Linked DNA regions of Yarrowia lipolytica. The protein of the gene in region 1 purifies or fractionates together with the protein of each later gene. This does not show direct contact. Links are inferred from orthologs where the notes say so. Each region holds a gene or a part of one and is shown on either strand. Other genes may lie near its edges.

Region 1 (13,612 bases):
CGACAGATGGATCTCATGGAAACCTCGCGTGTAAGACCATCCTGGGACGCCTACTTTATGCGTCTGGCTGATCTTGCCGCTGAGAGATCCAACTGCATGAAGAGACAAGTGGGGTGTGTCATTGTGCGGGACTCGAGAGTCATTTGTACGGGTTACAATGGTACTCCTCGAGGAGCTGTCAACTGTAACGAAGGAGGATGTGCTCGATGTAACTCTGGAGAGGCCGGGGCAGCGCTTTCGACTTGTCTGTGTTTGCATGCCGAAGAAAATGCTCTCTTGGAGGCAGGAAGAGAACGGATCAGGGACACCTCCAAGCTGTATTGCAACACATGTCCTTGTTTGACTTGTTCCATCAAGATTGTCCAGGCTGGAATCAAGGAGGTCATTTACAGCAAGAGCTACAATATGGATGCTCAGAGCAGTAAGGTGTTGCATGATGCTGGAGTGACCCTCAGACAGTTTACTGCTCCTGTGGAGTACTACTCGAATTAGAGGAGGGATATTGACGACGATGACGACGATACGATTGACGATATAAAAATGGATGCATAATACACAGAACAGAAGGGGGTGTATACACAGACAACTGCTACATGACAGATAATGAATGTATACGAAATGATTAAGTGAATACTAATATAATTTGACATGCTGATCCTCATTGTATTTGTATATGTGCATTTATATATGTTGGGGGAACATCTTTATGCTGTCTGTAGGCCAGGTGCACTTGTGTGAAGATCCACTCGTGTGTGATACCTGTGAATACATCATCTACTGGACTGTACTTTGCTGTGGATATAATACTGTGGCTAGGCAATACCGCAGCTGCCAGCAGGAAGTCCTTCACCCAGGAACAGCCGCCCTCACGTCAATCCAATAAATTCATTAATCTAATCGTTTACGCCAAAATGAGCTTGGCGGCAGCAATATCTCCCTCGCTGCCCTTCTTCTCCTTAATCAGCTTCTCCAGCTGCTTAGTGGCTACAGCCTTGAGCTTGTCGTTGCCCTTCTTGTGCTTGCTGATGGCCACAAGAATACCACACCATGCCCGAATGTAGACAGGACACAGTTCCACCGCTCGGCAAAAGTGCGAAATTGCCTCTCCAGCATCCCCTGCTGCAAGATACAGCTCTCCCAGGCGCGCAAACATATTGTATGCGAGAGGAGCACACAGAAGCACCTCCTCCACGGCCGAAATGGCGTCTCCCCACTTCTCACAGGCAGCATAGGCCTCGGCGAGCTCAGACCACGCCTCTGGATCGGTAGGCACCACCTCCAGGTACTTGACCAGCTCGGAAATGTACAGATCAGCCACTCCTGTGTCTCTGAGAAGAGCGATTCGGGCCTTCCAGCACGGCAGATCGCTTTCGGGACGTCCCTGGAGGTACATCAGAGCATCCTTGGGGCCCAATTGTCTGTCAATCAGCATCGACTTGAGCTTGCCGATTCGGCCCGTGTCTTCGCCGAACCGGTCGGCCAGCTTCTGGTATGTTATTTCGGCCTCTCTGGAGTCACCGACCAGCAGAGCGAGATAAAAGTGCTGTTCAAAGAGGGCATATCGGTCGTCATCAGACAGGTTGTAGTGTCGGCCGGCCAGAAACCGCGTGGACTGCTCATGCAATTGCTTCAGCTGCTCCGTGTTGAGATTCAGATACTCTGCTCGTTCAGCAGATTGCACTAGACTCATGGCTGTGTGTATGTCGTTGTAGTTGTGATCGCTGTATGTTCATCATGGTCAACGTACTGTACGTACGTAAACCCATGCACTCGAAACTTTATTATAGTGACGTGACTAAGCTGCAGAAAGAGAATTAGTTGGGAGTTAGTTAGGGAAAAGTTGACTGAGGGCGCAAATAGTGTCCCAGATACGGTAGAAATATGAAACGTACGCCAAAAAATTTATGAAAGTGATCTGGTTGTTATTACTTATCTAACAAGTTACCGGAGTTCTCAGATATAAAGAAATATAATGCTATTCTTGCTTACTTTGAGTTTGTCACTTTACTTAACGTTAGTTAGAACAGTTGAGCAATATGTTACATGCGGCAGCTACAGCTTTACAGTATGTACAGGGGTGTTCTCGAATCAATACTTCCATAAAGTCGCTTGACCATACCAAAAGCCTCTCGCCTTAAGGGGTGATACTTTGCTTGTCTTCATCTGCTTGTAGCCTTATTATTGTCTACAACGTTTATACTTGTAGTAAATACTCGTTACACCAAATCAACTACAATTACAAGTATTCCTTCAATATACATATCATGTAGCTACACCTCCAAAGTTACTTCCGCTGCTCAAGCCGCTCGACAACATGATGCAACTCGGCCACCCGGTTTCCAAGACCCATGAACAGCTTGTATAGCTCCTCCAGCGAAATGGTAAAGTTGTCAATGACCACAGAAGGGTTCTGAGGTCCGCTTTGTTCCAGTCCCACAACACCAGCCTCCACCTCGGCCGTCACCTTTGCCAGCTCCTCAATTCGCTTCTCGTACTCCTCACACTTTGTCTTAAAGTAGTTGAGCAGAGGATCGCCGTTCTCTCTGGGAGCTCCAGCGGGTCGGTTGGAGTTGAGACGGCCAGGAGTCTGACTGGTCAGGTAGCTGAGCAGGTTGAAACACGTCTGCGCCTCTTGTGCGGCAATGTCTGATCGAGTCTTGATCTCGTTCATGTTTTCGGAGTCGTGCACCAGAGCCTCGTAAGCAGTGATGTACTTTCTGGAGATGAGCTCAGCATCTCGGGGGATCGACTCGATCATCTCCTGATGCTGCAGCTTGTTCGTGGACAGCTCATCGCATATTCGGGCCTGCTGCTGAATGTATTCGTCGATCTGTTCAAACTCCTTCTGCATATGTTCCGGTAGATCCGACGGTCTGGTCAGAGGAGTGACGGTCAATTGCTGCTGTTGTTGCTGTTGTTGCTGCTGCTGTTGCTGTTGCTGACCAAATCCAAGTCCTCCAGTATTTGTGTTTGTGTTTGTGTTCTGTCCAAATCCTCCTCCAAAGCCGGTACCGGTAGTAGCAGGCTTAGCACCGAAAAGACCACCTCCTGAAGTAGTAGTGGTGGCGGGTTTTGCACCAAACAGTCCGCCGCCCGTGTTAGTAGAAGCGGCGTTGTTGTTCTGGCCGAAAAGTCCACCGGTGGTGCCTGTGGTTCCGGTGTTGGCAGTATTGGATGTGTTCTGTCCAAACAGCCCCCCACCTGAGGGGGCAGCAGGCTTAGCTCCAAAGAGACCGCCTCCGGTTGTGCTTGTGTTCGAAGTGGTGTTGTTGTTGTTCTGGCCGAAAGAGAAACCTCCAGATGTGCCTGTAGTACCAGTAGTACCGGCAGTGTTTGTGTTCTGACCAAACAGCCCTCCTCCAGTGGTGGCAGCAGGCTTGGCTCCAAAAAGTCCTCCTCCGGTGTTTCCGGTGTTAGAGGCTCCAGCATTGTTGTTTTGGCCAAACGAAAAGCCTCCTCCAGTGTTACCGCCCGTGTTGCTGGTCTGATTGGTGTTGTTCTGGCCAAACCCGAATCCTCCGCCAGTGTTGGTGTTAGTGGAGTTGGAATTGTTATTCTGGCCGAACGAAAACCCGCCACCAGTGTTACCGGTCGTGCCGGTATTGGCGGCGCCAAAGCCTCCGGGCTTCTGTCCGAATCCAGTGCTGCCGAACATGATGTATCTGTGTGGTGATGGCGTCTCTAAAAGTTTGGTTTGTTTTGCTGCATGCTGTTGATAATTTTGCTTATTAAGCCAACAAGGCTGAGGATGTAAGCGGATGGATGGTGTAAACACTACAACAGAGCAGCAGGTAACGGAGGCCATAGATTACTTAGATGAGTACTGCTTTAAAAAAAATCAATACTGCCTCCTTTCTATCATCAATTACATATTTCGATTAAACGCCTTATCTTGAAATTCATGAAGTCGTGGAGTCGAACTCAGGGTCAGTCTTGTCAATCTCTCTGAAATTTCAAATTTGAAGCTTGGTTGGGAGGGAGCACCAGGAAAGACTACAGTACAGTGTTCATCCTACAGTATTTTTTTTCCCGTATCCTTCTTCGTTATTCTGGCGGTAATCGACGTGTGAAATACCCGGCGTTTAGGTTGCTCTAGAACATTCCATTGTGATTCACTGTTTTGATGGAAAATGGGGAGCTATTCTGTCACCAGCTTCACTCCCAATTGCCGTGAGTTCTCTCTGGTTGCTGCATTTTCTGTATGATTGTCCGTATGTGAGTCGAACCAAGATCGATAAACTTTCGCGTGATAATACGGCGGAAAGCATGACATCTATCCAACTCTCGTAATAATAGCCCTATAAGCGTGATTTTTCCATAATTTTGTTTGCTGAAACTAACTAAATACACTGATACTCTACTTTTTTCTATGAACCATCTCAGTCCCATACTTTGTGGAAATACAGTAGGTACTACAGTGAACATTCGGCACAGTACGGAAACTCTTTCCCTCCACTGTCAGACCTGCATCTTCCAGGAAACCTCATCGAAATTCAAAAAAGGGGCAACGCGATCGAAAAAAGACAAAATAGTGGCAAATGTCGTCTGAAATAGATGTGTGCTTTCGTTCTGTGGGTGGTACAGGGCGTGTCACCTTCTCCTAGCCATTTCTACTTACAGTACTGTACGTACTCTGACTTCTCAGTCAAGTTAGTTAATGCAGTGTCTACATTACATTTTGTCAAATTCCACAGCTAAACTCCACAGCTAATCCTCGTAACGTTCTGACTAACAATAACTGCATCGTACAATGTATCTACAATACATACATACGAGATGAACCCTTTCATGCAACCTTGTGTACGGCTATTTTTCGCCCGAAATAACTCAGTTCCAGGTTAGGCAAGTCCCTGTAAAGATTCATATCCTCCGTATGGGTAGGGCACGTTTCTGAAGCAGCCTACAAACCATATAGATACAGTATGTTGCAGTTGTGCTGTAGGACACGTGACAGGCATCCATCACTGCCGGGTAAGGTAGTATCGAGCCATCCACGGCGTTCCATATGGTTCCAATAAGCCGGGAGTCGTTCATCTGATGCACTTCATCTCATCCGGCTATCGGAATAAGTCATACCTGCGCTTCCAAAGGCTTCCTTTCTCTCTGTCTACCGCCACCAATAGTCGCCACTATGCGCATTCTATCGTCGTTTGGTTTCCCTTAAAGTTAAGTGTCTTGTCCCTACATCCCACCACATCACAAGATTTGATTTTCAACAGCAGATACACCATCAATGGGTATTCCTAAATTTTTCCGCTACATCAGTGAGCGATGGCCGCTGATTTCCCAACAAGTGATTGATACACAGATTCCTGAGTGAGTATGAGAGCAGTGAGGGTGTTTTTGGAGATGGCAACACGACCGTTTGGTGATTGTGGGGTGTCTGATCGGTCAGCATACTGATGACCAAAACCACGACACTAGACGACCTGAAGGAACGTATAACAAGAGCCTTGTGACTGGAGGATCGTTTGAAAGCCCTTGTCGAATGTTCTATGTTGTTTCGATACATGATTCAGGCCAGATCAAACCCACAATAACACACAAAACTGTTACCACCACAGCCACATCACAACATTTCCGTGCTAACCCAGATATGACAATCTGTACCTCGATATGAACTCGATTCTGCACGTGTGCACACACAAGGACGCAGATGTGACGTTCCAGCTGACGGAAGAACAAATGTTCCGCGCCATCTTCGAGTACATTGAGCATCTATTTTCCAAAATTCGGCCCAAGAAACTCTTCTTTATGGCCATTGACGGAGTCGCACCGAGAGCCAAGATGAACCAGCAGCGATCGCGACGATTCCGAACTGCCCTCGACGCCGAAAAGGCCAAGGCCAAGGCTCTGGAGGAGGGCACCATCCTGAAGGAGGACCAATTCGACTCCAACGCTATTACTCCCGGAACCGAGTTCATGGAGAAACTGACCACCCAACTCAACTACTTTGTGCACAAAAAGGTCAGTGAGGACGCTGACTGGCAGAACATTGACATTGTTCTTTCTGGTCACGAGGTTCCAGGAGAAGGAGAGCACAAGATCAACGAGTGCATCCGAATCAACAAGGCCCAGCCTGACTACGACCCCAACACCCGTCATTGTGTGTACGGTCTGGATGCCGATCTCATCATGCTGGGTCTGGGTTCCCACGACCCCCACTTCTCTCTTCTGCGAGAAGAGGTTGTCTTCGGTCCCCGACGAGCCGGTCCCAAGGCTCTGGAGGAGCAGAACTTTTATCTTCTGCACATTTCTCTGTTGCGAGAGTACCTTGAGCTGGAATTCCAGGACCTTGCTGACGAGATTTCGTTTCCCTATGACTTTGAGAGAATTCTGGATGACTACATCCTGCTCTTCTTCTTCGTCGGAAACGATTTCTTGCCCAACTTGCCTCAGATTCACATCAATGAGGACTCCCATGCTCTTTTTGTAGAGTTGTACAAAAAGGTAATGAAGATTTCCGACGGCTACATCAATGACCGAGGAAACATCAACTTGCAGCGCCTGGATCTCTTCCTGGCTGAGATGGAAAAGTTTGAAATTGGTATTTTCGAGGAGCAGGCCATTGATCTGGCCTGGATCAACAAGGATCTTCCGGAGTTGACTCAAAAATACAAGTCCAAGCGTGGCGAGAAGCTCTATCTCTCACCCCAACAGAAGGAGCTGGTTGTGCAGAAACTGCGCCCCTTTGTTGATGCCCATCTTAAAAACAAGTCCAAGTCGGACTACGATCCTGATAATTTGCCCGAGATCGTATTTGATACTCTCTCCGAAGAGTGTGAATCTCTCGTCAAAGAGATCTCTCTGGACCTCGATTGCCGATTTCTCAAGAACTCTTCCACATCTTGTATGCTAATCGTCGATTACGATGGCCTCCGAGACGAGGAGAGTCCTGAAGAAGCCACCCAGCGCTTCATTGGCTACTCCCAGACCCTCAAGCGGTACGAGGCTGCTCCTGTCAAGACCGCCGAGGCGCTGGCCCAGCGAGAGGAGATTTACAATCAGAAGTTTGAGGAGTGGAAGGACGACTACTATAAAAAGAAGTTTGGTTGGTCGACTACCACCGACGAGGGCAAAGCCGAGCTCAAGGCTCTGACCGAAAACTACGTCGAGGGTCTGCAGTGGATTCTGCACTACTACTACGACGGCGTACCCTCGTGGTCTTGGTACTATGGCTACCACTATGCTCCTCGAGTTTCTGATGTGCGTAAGGGTCTGCAGGCCAATCTCAAGTTCAAGGCTGGCCAGCCCTTCAAGCCCTTCCAGCAGCTCATGGGTGTGCTGCCTGAGAGATCCAAGAAGCTCCTTCCTCAAGCTTACTGGCCCCTGATGGCCGACTCCAACTCGCCCATCTATGACTTCTACCCTAACGACTTTGAGCTGGACAAGAACGGAAAGAAGGCCGATTGGGAGGCAGTGGTCAAGATCCCATTTGTGGACGAGTCGCGTCTTCTGACAGCTATGGCTACGAAGGAGACTGGTCTTACTGCTGGAGAGAACAAGCGAAACGCATTTGGCAACAACTTGTTATTCAAATACTCGCCCCAGCAGGATTATGTCTACCCGTCTTCTATGCCCGGTGTCTTCCAGAACTTGGAGCACTGTCATTGTGTGGTTGAGAAATTTGACTTGCCTTCCATGGACGGTTTGGACGTGGTCATCGGCAAGAAGGATGGCTCCAAGTGGGGCAAGGACATGTTGTCCGGATTCCCCTCTCTCAAGACCCTTCCTTACACCTACGACATTGAGGCTGCTGGTGTTCGAATCTTCCAGCAGGATTCGCGAAACAACACTCTGGTGCTCAACATCATCAACTCCTACAAGAACCGATCTCCCGAATCCATTGCTCGAGAGTTGATGGACCAGTCCATCTACGTCAACTATCCTTACCTGCGAGAGGCCAAGGTGATTGCTGTTTCAGACGAGCTGTTCTCTTACACCTTTGAGAACGGCAAGGTCAACAAATCTCCCCATTCCGACACCATGGCCAAGGAGTGGGCCACCGGATCCCGAAAGATCAAGAACGACTACATCAAGAAGCAGGGTATCAAGAGCGGTAACATCTTTGTCGTTCTTCATGTCCGTTTCCTGGCTGGTATGAAGAAGGGAGACGATGGATCTCTTGTCAAGGACTTTACTGGAGCCACTGGTTCTTTCCCTGTTCAGACTATTGTTGAGAAGGTGGTCAACGAGGATGAGCGGTACAAGGAGCGAGCTGCTCAGCCTATCGCTGCCGAGTTCCCTCTCGAGTCGCGTGTCATTCTCATGTCCGACTTCTGCTATGGTGCTGAGGCCCAGGTTGTCAACCACATTGGCAACACCAAGATGGATCTCCAGGTCAAGAAGTCTGCACCCAACTCTCCCGCTGTTGTGCTTGCGGATGTGGGTAAAAAGATTGCTCGAACAGAGTACGCTACCACCAAGTACTACCCCTCGTATCAGGCCGCCAAGATGGCCGGTATCCAGTCGTCTCTCCTCGGTCGAATCTGCTCCAAGTGTCTGATTCAGAAGGGAGACTCTAAGATTGACGTAGGTCTCAACCTGCGAAATGAGGGCAAGCGAGAAAAGGTGCTTGGCTACACCCGGCGAACTCAGCAGGGCTGGGAGTACACCCAGGATGCCATTGCTCTGGTCAAGAGCTACTACAACACCTTCCCCAAGCTGGTCGAGGGTATTGGTTCCAACCGAGACAAGGGCGTGCCTGACATTTCTGCTCTGGTCAAAGGCGAACCTGCTGAGGTCAACAAGATGCTTGAATCTGCTCGGCGATGGCTCAAGGAGAACGCCTCCCGACTGACTTCTGTGGATATTGACACTCAGTCTCTATCGGTCAAGTCCATCTCTGTTCTTGAGAACTATCTCGTCAAGAACGCTGCTGACCCTGATGCTGTGCGGTTTATCCCCTCCGTTGTGAAGGGTACTCCTCGTCAGGCTGTTCTTCGACCTGATGAGGCCTTCCACCAGCTTCGTGGCCAGCGATTCGATCTGGGGGACCGGGTTGTGTATGTCCAGGACTCTGGAAAGGCTGCCATCTTTTCTCAGGGTACCGTGATCGGTATCAAGGCCGTTGGCGTGGATGTTCGGCTGGATGTGCTGTTTGATGACGAGTTTGTCGGTGGCAACAACTTCCAGGGCCGAGCTTCCACCAACCGAGGTCTCAACGTCGCTGCCAACACCGTCATCAACCTGACCAACCGGCAGATGATGTACCGACCCAAGGGCGGCAACCGAGGTGGCAAGGCTAATGGCCAGCAGACCAACGGCAAGACCAACAACGCCCGGGGCCGAAACAACGGCCGACAGGGTTCTCCTGCCGCTTCTGCAGTGCCCAAGCCCAAGCAGCCCTCTCCTGGTGTCAAGATTCTTCAGCGACCCAGAGACGCTGCTCCTGTTGCTGAGACCTCTACTTTAGGTGAGGTCCCCACTGCTGTGGCTGCTGCTACCGCTGCTGTATCAGAGTCTGCTACTGTCCCTCCTGCTCCCGCTCCCAAGACCGAGGAGGAGCTGAAGAAACAGAGCGAGGCTCTTTTGGACTCTCTCAAGTCCAAGACTTCTGCTGACGCCAAGAAGCAGGTCCTGGGCAACGTGCTGAACCAGTACTCCAACCCTCAGCCCCAGGGACCTTCTCAGCACCAGCAGCAGGGCCCTCCTATGCACTACGGAGGCCCCCAGGGTGGATTTGTACCCCCTCCCCCTCCCGGATTCCCTACCCAGGGATTTCCCCCCCAGGGCTACCTCCCTCAAGGACACTTCCCTCCCGGATATTACCCTCCCCAGCCTTTCTACCCTGGTCAGGGTTATCCTCAGGGACCTGGCCCTCAGAACCAGCAGCACCAGCAGGGCGCTCCTCAGGGAACTCCTCAGGGCAATGAAGACCTCTCTGCACAGTTGATGGCTGCCCTGCAGGTTTCTGATAACTCTCAGCAGCCTGCCACCGGACTTGCCAATGAAGGAGGCCGAGGACGAGGAGGACGGGGTCGAGGACGTGGAGGACGTGGACGTGGAGGACGTGGTCGAGGTGGACAAGGTCAGGGCGGACAGCAGGATGCCAACAACCCTCGGATTCCCCAGGTGACTCCCCGGCCTTAGTAGAACGGACTGACGTGTCTAAACTTGGCATGAATGGTTGTATAATAATGGAAATTGGATATATTGATTGATAATTTTGTTGCGTAGATGTACCAGTGATACAGTATTTGAGTTTTGTTGTGAATGTGGCCCTCCAGTAATTACGAGTACATACTGGTACTACTTGCACTTGTATTGTATGTGGCAAGTGATGATAATTTTTTGATATCGTGTACCTAGTCGCGGCGGTACTGTTTGTTGTTTTGTTTTTGTTTTTTTTTGTTATTGTTTTTCATATTTTTTGAGCATTTCTTTCTATTCTCGCAGCTCAATTACAGCAGCTTTTAGTACAGTATATGGTTCATTATCGCGTACTGCACCACCCTGGAGCAAACCAACATGTGTAGCAGGTATTATTTGTCTTACAAGTGATACACTTTTGCCTATCATTGTAATCTCATGATTCGTCTGAAGACTGTATTGATTTTATTGTCACTTACATAGTAATCTAGATCATAATGGCACCTCCGAACTCAACGCTGTTATGTCCATACTAAAGATTTCTCATTACTAAGTACACAGGATGTACAGTAATTAGTGAAAACTGAAACCTTTATGGACCAACTCGGAGAAGTTGTATCGTGTGTGGCATGTACGCAACTAACCACATTCTCATCTCTTCAAGACACAATCTAACAAAAAAATACAAGGCCCTGTCAATTGTGGATTTGGAATCACGTGACTCGCCAGCAAACAAGAAGCGATGTTCGGAACTCCGGCGGTTTGTTCACTGTCATCAGCCGCTCTGCACCCCAGACTCCCAAACTTAACATTTCAGGTCGGACGGATCAGTCATTCCGACTTGTTCATCACCAACCACACTAACAGCATGGCTACCCGATTTGCCCAGCAGGCCCGAAAAATCCTGTGCATTGGCCGAAACTACGTCGAGCACATCAAGGAGCTCAATAACACGGCTCCCTCCAAGCCCTTCTTCTTCCTCAAGCCCTCGTCTTCCATCCTGCTCCCCAACGAGGGTCCCATGCTCGTGCCCTCGGGAACTGTTGTGCACTACGAGGTAGAGCTGGCTGCAATTCTCGGCAAGGAGCTCAAGAACCTCAACCCCAAGACTTTCACTGAGCAGGACGCCATTGACGCCATTGATGGCTACGCTCTGGCTGTTGACATGACTGCTCGAAACGTGCAGGACGAGGCGAAGAAGAAGGGTCTGCCCTGGTCAATTGGCAAGGGGTTCGATACCTTCCTGCCCATCTCCAACTTCATTCCCAAGAGCCAGATCCCCGATCCTCACAACGTGCATCTTCACCTTGAAATCAACGGACAAACTAAACAGTCCGATAACACCAACCTGATGATCTTCAAGCTGCCCCAGATTCTGTCCACCATGAGCAGCATCATGACTCTTCAGCCCGGTGATATTATTCTCACTGGAACCCCCAAGGGAGTGGGTCCTGTTAACCCTGGAGATCGAATGACCGCCGGTATCTCTGTTGATGGAAAGGAGCTCGAGGCCAAGGTCGATGTTCAGGTTGAGCAGAAGCCTGGTCCTTACGTTTATTCTCAGATCTAATCTATATAGATATCAATGACACTTGCCAAGATAATACGTGATACTGTACGTGACTTTGCTACAATAATATAGTATAGCCTTCTGTCTTGGTGACAAGCAACAGTTAGCCATTATATATACTGTACCAAGCTGTAACACAAGCTTCGTCTCACCCAATTCATTATCATTACGTCGTAACTATTCACATATATACTTGCTCTTTCGTTGGTCAGCATTCCCATGCTCTTCGTTTGGTCAACTCACAATCATCTTTTGTCTCTCAATCTCATTAGTGGGCATGTTTTTGCTGACCCAGTTGATATCTCTGAGGAACTGACCGTAGTCGCCGTTGATTGCTCCTCGCACCCGCTTCTTGACCTTGTCGTAGTCCTCCTCCTGAGTCTGGTACTCTCTGACCACCAGGCCCTCCTCGAACTCAATGTACACTCGTGTGTCTCTGATTCGGAACTTGACGCCGTCTACTCTCAGAAAGAAGCGACTGAGCAGCAGCAGTCGTTTGGGCATGACTCTGATCTTGACTGACAGAACCGCACTTCCGTTGTCTGCCAGCTCGTCTTCATAAAGCACCATATCGTCAAAGAAGAGGATGGGATCCGGTAGAGTCAGCTTGTCCAGCGGTAATGGCTCCGGGCATGGCTTCCATTCAGCCTCACACTTGCCCTGTTGCACGTCTCCCAGGTACTTTGGCGAGTAAGTCCAGTCGAATGGTTTGTTGATAATCTGAATCTCTTCCTCCGCCGTCTCTTCTCGCGTTGCCAGCCAATGTTTGGAGTGGGCCACCACCAGTCCGGTGGGCTCACCTGTCTTGTCCACGAGATCCAGGGCGTTGATAGCGTCGAAATTGATGCTCCAACCTGACGCTTCATGTTCGATTTTAATGATGTTGTTGCCGAAGATCATTTCGGGCACTGGGATTCCAAGACGGGCTTCGGCCGCGTCGATTTCTGCAGCATTGAGAATCGGCCGCTTCTCGGCAGTCACAGTCCACCCTTTTTCTGAAATGGACGGCATGTTGTACGGAGTATGGTGAGCGTTGCAGGGTTCGCGGTCTTAGGCTTTACTTATCGAATATTAAGGCACGTTGATGCGTTCATGCAGGAATTAGTCATAACCTGAGAGATCAGGAGACCACGACATCCGCCTAAGGACAGTATTGGAAGTCACTACAAGTAATCTAACTCGTATAGAACAACTTATAACTATCAATAGAGACTTACGGTGAATGCACTTACGTAATACCCCGTTGCATGTAACACAACAACGTATGACTCTGCGTGAGACATGCCATGACTGTCATCTTGGAAAAGCACTATAGTGAGCACCTACAACTACAAGTACTGTATGTACTGTACGATACCTGTAGAGTAGCTACACTGTGAAAAACATATTGCGACGGTACTAAATAACAGTAAAGGTCAGCATTTTCAATTCCCAAACAGCTTCTGATTGTAGCCATTTGGGCATTTTTATGACTGCATCACCATACACGTGGTCGCCTAACTTTCGAGTTTTTGCCGCCCCCAGAGAGAGCTCTGACAGTGTCCGTCGCAAACTGCAGTATGTACGTAGCTGTAGTCATGCACGCACGTTGAAGAATGAAGGCAAGAATCACCATAGGAGGTTGATTTAGAGGTGGGTCAGTAGATTGTATGAGTATGTATGTACTGTAGTAGAATTTTTATTATAAACTGTAGCAGTGTCTTATTGAGTGGTCATGTAATTTTTGACCTATATTAGCTAGTACACATCAATAGCAGACAATACCCATTCCTGGGCTACATCATACTTGTATAAGGTACATTGTACAAGTACAAGTGGTTTGTTGTCGCCCACCATGGACATTCCATTTTCGAACCCCGGCTGACAGTACAAGTAAAATGCACATAGTGAAAAGCACCACAGAGGTGATTGGAAACATGGGCACCGAAACAACACGTTATTATATCATCA
Region 2 (7,843 bases), on another chromosome or scaffold:
TTTCAAACAATGAACTCTGACATCCGATCTGACCATTTTTGAGCGCAAAAAGTTGAATTTATTTTCAGTCAGAGAAACAGCAACAACCTCCCCAATATGAATCACGTGACTAAAAATCGGTACCATTGCGTAGCCCTTGTTCAGGGATTTACAACAGTCAACTCTGGGGCCAGATCGGGTGCATTTTCAGTTGAAAAAGTTGAATTTGTTTTTTTTTTATTATTTTTTTTATCAAAAAGTGACAACTACCTCAATATGGGTCACGTGACAATAAGAAATATGGAACCATCCGAATTCCAATTCTAGACCGAAATCTGAGCAGTTTTTTTCCCAGTCTACAACTGTCAATATGATGTCATCATGACTTTTCTGCAAAAATTACTTACGTAAAAACATAATTCAACACTGCACCGTCTTGGTGAGTCAGTGAGTCGATGAGTCACATGACCACATGACCACAAAAAAGGTGGGATCTCCCAGACTGTCTCTATTCTAGGCCACTTTGAATCTCTTGTCTTTTTTTGGTATCTTTCTTCTATTCCATCATCGATTTTTAACTGGAATTCCATAGTTAATAGAAGATATATTGGTCAACGTTAGTGCAGATGCTCTTCCTTCTCCTTTTCGTGAGACTCAATCGGGACCACATATTTTCGGATAAACATAACGAGCTTCTCCCAGTACTCGGGTTGGACAATGGTATCATTGTGGGTTCCGTTAGCAAAGTACTCGACGACCTTGACGTCGGCCGGACACATGCCAATGAGTCCCTTCATGTGTGGAGGCGGCACTATTTCGTCTCGGAGCCCCGACAGGAACATTGTGGGGATTTGCGGGTTGATGAGGGGCATCAGTTTCTCCGACTCCCATTTCTGGTGGCAGAGTCGGGCAAAAGGCGCCGCGAACGGAAGCACGTACCCAATGAGCTTGGGGATGCTCAGAAAGGTGTTTTCAAGAATCAGACCCTTGATGATGGAGCCCTCGGAGCCGCCAAACTGCGACGCCATGTAAATGGCCACTGCGCCGCCCAGAGAGCGCCCATACAGCACCAGAGAGGTGTTTTTGATTTGCGGATGGGTCTGCAGATAGTTGTACAGCGCCCGGGCGTCCGTCTTGATGCCCACTTCGCTGGCCGTGCCTGTACTCAAGCCATATCCTCGGTACGAAAAAATCACCGCATTGTAGCCCATCTGTTGGTAGAACAGCCGCACAATGGGCAGAGCATGCCCCATGTTCCCGGCATTGGGACACAGGAGAAGAACCGTCTTGGGCACATAGTTGGGCTCCGACTCGTCGTGCAGAACCACAAACGCCTTGATCTTCTCGCCGTCGGCAGTCTCAATCGTCACATCTTTGTATGACGGCATGCCCTGAGAATCGGGCGTGTCCACGTGTGTTCGAGACCCGGCGGGGAAATTTGACGGATAGATGAGCTTGGACTGGAAAATGTACAGCCCAGCAGCCACAAACGCCGTGATGGCGGCACCCAGCCCAAACAGATAAAAGGCGTACCGCTGGATGGAAGAGGTCATCAGGGGGCGCAGAAGACGAGATGTGCGGTCACGTGACACAGCAGAGAGTCGATGGCGGGGTTTGGGGGTCGACAGCTTGCCAATTGGGTCAAAAGTCCGCCGTTGGGTGATGTGTGGAGGTGATGATGGAGATGCCAAGTTACACAAAGTGCGTTGGAGTGCATCTTTCATGTGCGAACGGGGCTAGGGGTGTCTAATTTTGGAAACTTTCCAATTGGGAATCAGGGTTAGGTGAAGTTCCCATTTCTTACTTCCAATGAGAAAAGACAGGAAGAGGCTGGGTTAGGGTCCCCTCCCAATCGATGGCAGGGTTAGGACCCGTCCCTACCCACACTGCCAAATCCAGACAAACGCTAAAAGGAGGTTAGGTGACACTTTCAGTTCAGCAGGGGGGTTACCCGGCACTGCAGGACCCAAAATTCCTCTTGCACAATTCATCCACCACAAACGAGCTCTGTCTTGATCGCACAACAGTACTTGATTGGAAAGTGAGTATGTCGCAAGGGGGTGAAGTCACGTGACAAGCGATCACGTGGTGCGCGCGATGCCATGTGGCGTTTTTTTTGCCCGGATCGGCCCCGATTTGGCGGTGTTACACAGATGGATACACAGTCGCACAGACAGGAAAAAGTGGTAGCACACTCAGACATGAGGGGTTGGAGATGGTAGAGAAGAGATAGGGGGAGGACTCGGCGATGTGATTTCGATGGTGGCGTTGATGATACTGTGAATGTGGCGACGATGTTGTGGATGTGGTGACGAGACTGTTGATGTGATGGGGAAGACGCTGTTGATGTGGTGGGACGACACTACTAAAGTGGTGGGACGACACTGCGGATGTGGCATGTCGCGTGCACTCATCGATGGTGTGTAAGGTGAGCAGTATATGTCTCTTCGACACGTTTCGCTTCCCTGCGGTGCCTGTCTCTGTCTTCAGTCTAAGTCTACCGTCTACACATGTTTGCTGTTACTGTTGCTGCAGTTCTGCTGATGTCCATCTCCTCCCTCTCGTTCTGTGCAAGTGTGCCATCAATGAGCTGTCCTTATGGCCATGACTACTAAATATCGACCTGTCTGCTCGTCTGTCGGTCGAAAATCTGTCTCCATCAAGGGCACAATCACCATGTCTACAATGGCAATCCAGACGGATGTCTCAGTGATTTCTACAGATATCGCCTTGCAATTGTCCCAGTCTGTGATTCCTCCAGTGCCTATGTTGTTCAGCATAGACTTAGACGTATCACGTATCTTACATCGCCATAAACCAGCTTCTCGCTCACAACTGCCGATTCCGTACTAACCCAGAATGGCCGCTACTACTGACAACGTGACTGAAGCTGTCGCCAACCTCAACATCAAGGAGGAGGCCCCCGTTGCTTCCGAGCCTGCCGAGGTGACCGAGACAGTCGAGGAGGAGGTGACCCCCGCGGAGCCCTTCAGCACCGTGTTCGACTCCAAGACTGAGTTTGCCACCGTCCACAAGCTGACCACCCCCTGGACTCTGTGGTACATCAAGCCCCCTTCCCCCGCGGTTGCCTGGCACGATCTGATCAAGGAGGTGGTGTCGTTCGACACCGTTGAGGGCTTCTGGGCGGTGTACAACAACATCCCCAAGCTGGTGGAGCTACCCATCCGGTCGGACTATGCATTTTTCAGAAAGGGCATCCGGCCCGAGTGGGAGTGTGACTCCAACAAGGCCGGCGGCAAGTGGTTCTACCAGTTCAAGCCCAAGTCTGCCAACGAGTTTGACGAGATTTGGCTCCACACGGTGCTGTCTGTGATTGGCGAGAGCCTCGAGACCGACGAGGAGATTGCCAAGCACGAGGGCAAGTACAACAACGTGGACGGCTCGGCCTCCAACGTGAACGGCATTTTTGTCAACATCCGAAAGGCCGGTGTGCGGTTCAACGTCTGGACCAAGACCTCCGAGGTGACCGACGAGCTGCGCCAGATGGGCGTCAAGATCAAGCAGGTGCTGCGTCTGCCCGAGAAGGAGGAGGTCCAGTTCCAGTCCCATGAGGAGTCGGCCTCCAAGAACGTCAAGTCGCAGGGCAAGACCAGACTGGCGGTTTAGCTGGAGTGAGAGATGAAAAAGGTGAGACCTAAGTTATTGAGAGGCGGGCTGCATTATAGTAATGTATGGCCAACGAAGGCCGCGAGAGAGCAGCATCACGAGCATCCTTAACATCACAAGCAAGAGCGATCTGAATGCGAATGATTGCGAGTTATGCGAGAGTGAAAGCAGCTGTAGAAAAGTGTGGAGTAGAAAAGTGTGGAGTAGAAAAGTGTGGAGTAGAAAAGTGTGGAGTAGAAAAGTGTGGAGTAGAAAAGTGTGGAGTAGAAAAGTGTGTTAGTTGTAGCACGTAACGTGACCTGCCGATTAGAGCGTTGGGGATACGATCCAACTATTGTGGAAAAAATTAGTTGAAGTTTCTCATGAGAAAAAAGGTCAAAGATAACGTCTCCTTTAGTCAAAGGAGACCAGATAGAGACAGTTTGAACGAGGGAAATGAATCATGACGAAACGAATGGGGTTCAATTCTTCAATTCCGACTTGTATTCGCAGAGTAGTGTTGGTTTGATGTTATGTATTTCTCTCAACAAAATCCAAGTAATTTTTTTTGTTTTTTTTTGGAGAATGTTCGATATCGTGTATATGAATTCACGAGGGTGGATTATGTTTAAACCAAGTGAATTCTGGGGTCTGTAGCTACAGTAGGATATATTATATGTTTCTTCAGAAGATCTGGAGGGCCGTGTAGGGACATCCAGTGAAAATTTTGTCAACTAAAGTCTAACTAAATAGTGGCAAGCAAACATAGAAGTCCTGGGAAACACAGAGCGTAATGAAGCAGTGGTAAAAGGATTAGAGGATGTTGTTCTAAGCTGAGGTGTATATAGGGTATGTATTGTGGATATTATTACTGGTCACGTGTCTCTGGAACGTCTATACAAGAGTCTAGTAATAATCAGATAGTTGACTGAGAGATGGGTGGGAGATGGGTAATATTGGTAGGGACTGGAAAAAGTTCACGTGATAGCAGTGAATTTGGGGGGGGGTCAGGAAATCGTCTTTTGGGACATCATATATATTTCAATTAGTTTTTGTGCCGTGTTTTCTGAATTTTTTTTTGTTCTCTGGTATGGGGTGTTTTAATACCGGCGCTTGAATCTGTCAGAAAGGCCATGAGTTGATAACTTGAATTGGAGAGTGTTTTAACGGGATAAAAGGAAAAGAAATCAAAGTGCTGGTCTCTAAATGTCTGGTTTTTGGCTGAGAAATGTGTTTTTTTGAAAGCAGGTTTAGGATCAAAGAAACTGCTCCAGAATTTGTTCCAGGACATCTGACGATATGGAAACAAATGAAATAGAATATTTCGAGTCCAAGAAACCCAATGGTAAAGTCCCCATAAATCTAGCATTTCTGCAGCGGTATATAAATGCGTCTTTAAAAGTTGGACATAGTCCGTATGTGCTGCAGATGGTTTTGCCATAACTCGATAATGCGTCAATCAGTGGACTTTGCGAGTTGAAAAGAAGATATAATGGGATCATAGGAATACTGAAATCGACTCTGTTTGTCTATATTCGATTTTTGGGGTCCAAGAGCGTCAATTCCAGATGGAGTAATGGTGGAAATTAAAGGTGAATTTTCTGCTGCTGGAACAGAGATTGGAATTTGGTTGTATTGAAAATATTGCTATAAAGGAATCAATAAGTAGGATGAACAAAATCCCACGTCGATGACATCAAAATTGGTCAATTTGGAGCGGTTTGGAAATGGTCGCAAATGTCAATAGTACAGTGCATACTGTACTAGATGTGACTGGTCAAATGCACTGTACTATGACCTTTGACCGGTCAGATTGGACTGTAAAAACTCTGATTATTTTCTCTAGAGTGCCCATTTCTGCTCTCTTCTTCTTACTCATCACTTGTTGCGTCCGGTAGCCCCTGTCGCAACAAAACAATACGAATGACACAGGAGTGACACAAAGAGTGACACAAAGAGTGACGCAAAAACACATTTTTTTTGGGGGCTGAAACAGTCCGTCATTGACACAACCACCCCTCTCCCAGCTCTCCTCTCCCAGCTGCTAACACAAATCTCCGACAGATCACATTACACAGACACTGTTCTTCAGCAGATTGATTACCGCTCACTTCATCAACTGTCTCAGGATAAGGCTGTCAGGACAAGCTAAGGATAAATCGCGACCTTCACCTAGTTCAGTGGTGATCAGTCAAACAGACTCGGGATTAGAACCAGACAGACGGTATTGATACACAAAGTGATTCTTGGATGTCACATGACTGCTGTATCACAACTGTCACAATAACCACGATGCCACTCTTCAATACATCCACCCACACAGTATTCCCTTCCCCTACTGTATGTACTGACTGCTACTCGTCCGTCTCGGAACTCCCTCATTCGATGGATACCACCGAGTCCACGGCTTCGACCTCATTCGGCGTGCATTGTCGGACTACTTCATATATGCCACATAGCGCTTTGGATGCGCATTTAGTCACACACACGGAAACACAATCCCATGCCGCGGGCTCCGTACGGTCCCCAACTCACAGTGTCAATTATGGAAGTGAGCAGTCGTTGGGTGGGGCGTGCGATGAAGAGCCAAAGCAGATTATGAGACTTTGACTGAATATCTTCTCCGATATTGAGTCAACTCTTCTCTTCTCACCGACGAGAATCCACGCAATTCCTAGATCATCTCCATGGTGAATGGAACCTGGACAGAGCGACTTGTCGAAACGAAGAGTGAAGTTCGCCCTCGAGCCTGTACCCATCCCTTTGAGGATTCAGGGGTCTCTGGCCAGTTACACCCTGTGCTAGAATTTCGGAGTCTCCAGGCTCTTTCTTCTGCTTCCGTTGTTGAGACTGCAGTATGTACTGTAGGTACCATATGTCCTATACATACTGTACTTGTAATCTTGCTCTGAGATGTGTCTTGACCTGTCAACGGTACGGTAAGAGTCTGCTTGGCTGCGTCCGGTCGGTTGTCGGGCCTTACTACCGCCGCAGTTTAAACTATTGCCGACACTTTTCTCAGAGAGCTGCATCGATGGTACAACGGTGTGTTCAGACAGTCACACCCTCTTCTCAAACATCGACTCCACTTGATGTGACTCGGTTGTCTGACCCTGTTCTGTCCTGGATGAAGTCCGACTCATTCTGACTTCAACCCATCTCCAAAGCACTCGTTTCTCCCCCGAGTCACAGCCCTACATTACAGTGGTACACACCTACGCCATCTAACCATCTATTCAAATCTAACAAATTCTAGCTATGATACATTTCCGCGTGAGCACAGGTAGTTCCGGACGAACCCTTGACGTAATTAGACCAGAGACTCAGGGTCTACCGATTGTAGAGCTGCACCAGTTCCTCCCAACCGAGGGCACTGGGCCCCTGCTCCTCCCCCTCCACCCCGTCCAATCTCTCCAGATCCACCTCCATCCCGGCCAGCCCCATCATCTGCCGGTAGACCCTCTCCGCGGGGAACTGCGGGCCCATCTCGGTGGCAATGCGCCTCCACCTCCCTGCCCAGTCACGGGCCACAACGCTCTTCAGCTTGTCGGTCTCCTGCTTGGTCCACTTGCCCGTCAACCGACATAGGGTCCGCAGATATCGCATCTGTACGGCCTGCCAGCTGTGCCGGTACCGTATCATAAGCGCAGACTCCTTCCACGTGAGGCCTTCAATCTCCTTGAGATACATAATGAGTCTGTCGTCGCAGGGTGTCCAGCGCACTGGACGCTTGGTGGTGGAGAGAGCGTTTGCCGTACACAGGCTGCTAATAGCTGCAGCTCTCGGGAGCCCGCTCTTGCGGGACACAAACGCCCAGTCGAACAACGCGTGGTCCATCAACGCGTCGTTGGTCCAAGGTACGTCCTGACGCTTGGAGTGAAGATACGCTTCGGCCAGAGTATGCAGCCGCTCTTCGCACTCCAGAAACCGGTGGTGGAAGGCCGCCTCGGAGGTGATGCAGGTCCGTGTGAGCTGCAAAGAGGACGAGGAAGGCGAGTGACGTTGTGAGAACCGAGTTTTGCCAATGGGACGAGCAACAGCACGACCCTGGGAGGATCCTCGGGTTCGAACAAGAGCGCGGGGCTCGGAGGTTGACTCCAACTTATCGTTCACATGGTTTTCACGTGACCCCGGCTTTGTCACCTTTGCCTTCAGCCTCGTCTGGCCCTTCTTCGCCCTGACTGGCCGTTCGTTGAGGACAAACGAATCTTCCTGTTTCAGCATGGACTCATCAACAGAAGTGCACATAGTTGAGTCG

The links. Proteins that work in one complex are often made in the same cells at the same time.
Region 2: the proteins of YALI1_C31971g (region 1) and YALI1_D32002g purify together in Saccharomyces cerevisiae (affinity purification with mass spectrometry; 3 studies listed by BioGRID, with this or other methods). This does not show direct contact. The link is inferred for Yarrowia lipolytica from reciprocal best matches to the Saccharomyces cerevisiae genes XRN1 and CDC33.

What each region holds. Positions count from the first base shown.
Region 1 is NC_090772.1:3,189,094-3,202,705, reverse strand, and holds YALI1_C31971g (uncharacterized protein), read left to right. Parts: upstream 1-5,233; coding exon 5,234-5,316; intron 5,317-5,594; coding exon 5,595-10,092; downstream 10,093-13,612. Other genes in the region: YALI1_C32031g (uncharacterized protein), read left to right, coding at 1-492; YALI1_C32010g (uncharacterized protein), read right to left, coding at 902-1,690; YALI1_C31989g (uncharacterized protein), read right to left, coding at 2,285-3,805; YALI1_C31918g (uncharacterized protein), read left to right, coding at 10,835-11,662; YALI1_C31900g (uncharacterized protein), read right to left, coding at 11,897-12,673. UniProt on the Saccharomyces cerevisiae protein: Multifunctional protein that exhibits several independent functions at different levels of the cellular processes. 5'-3' exonuclease component of the nonsense-mediated mRNA decay (NMD) which is a highly conserved mRNA degradation pathway, an RNA surveillance system whose role is to identify and rid cells of mRNA with premature termination codons and thus prevents accumulation of potentially harmful truncated proteins.
Region 2 is NC_090773.1:3,195,106-3,202,948, reverse strand, and holds YALI1_D32002g (uncharacterized protein), read left to right. Parts: upstream 1-2,838; coding exon 2,839-3,606; downstream 3,607-7,843. Other genes in the region: YALI1_D32024g (uncharacterized protein), read right to left, coding at 387-569; YALI1_D32013g (uncharacterized protein), read right to left, coding at 597-1,703; YALI1_D31981g (uncharacterized protein), read right to left, coding at 3,635-3,736, 4,754-4,876; YALI1_D31948g (uncharacterized protein), read right to left, coding at 6,916-7,843. UniProt on the Saccharomyces cerevisiae protein: Recognizes and binds the 7-methylguanosine (m7G)-containing mRNA cap during an early step in the initiation of protein synthesis and facilitates ribosome binding by inducing the unwinding of the mRNAs secondary structures.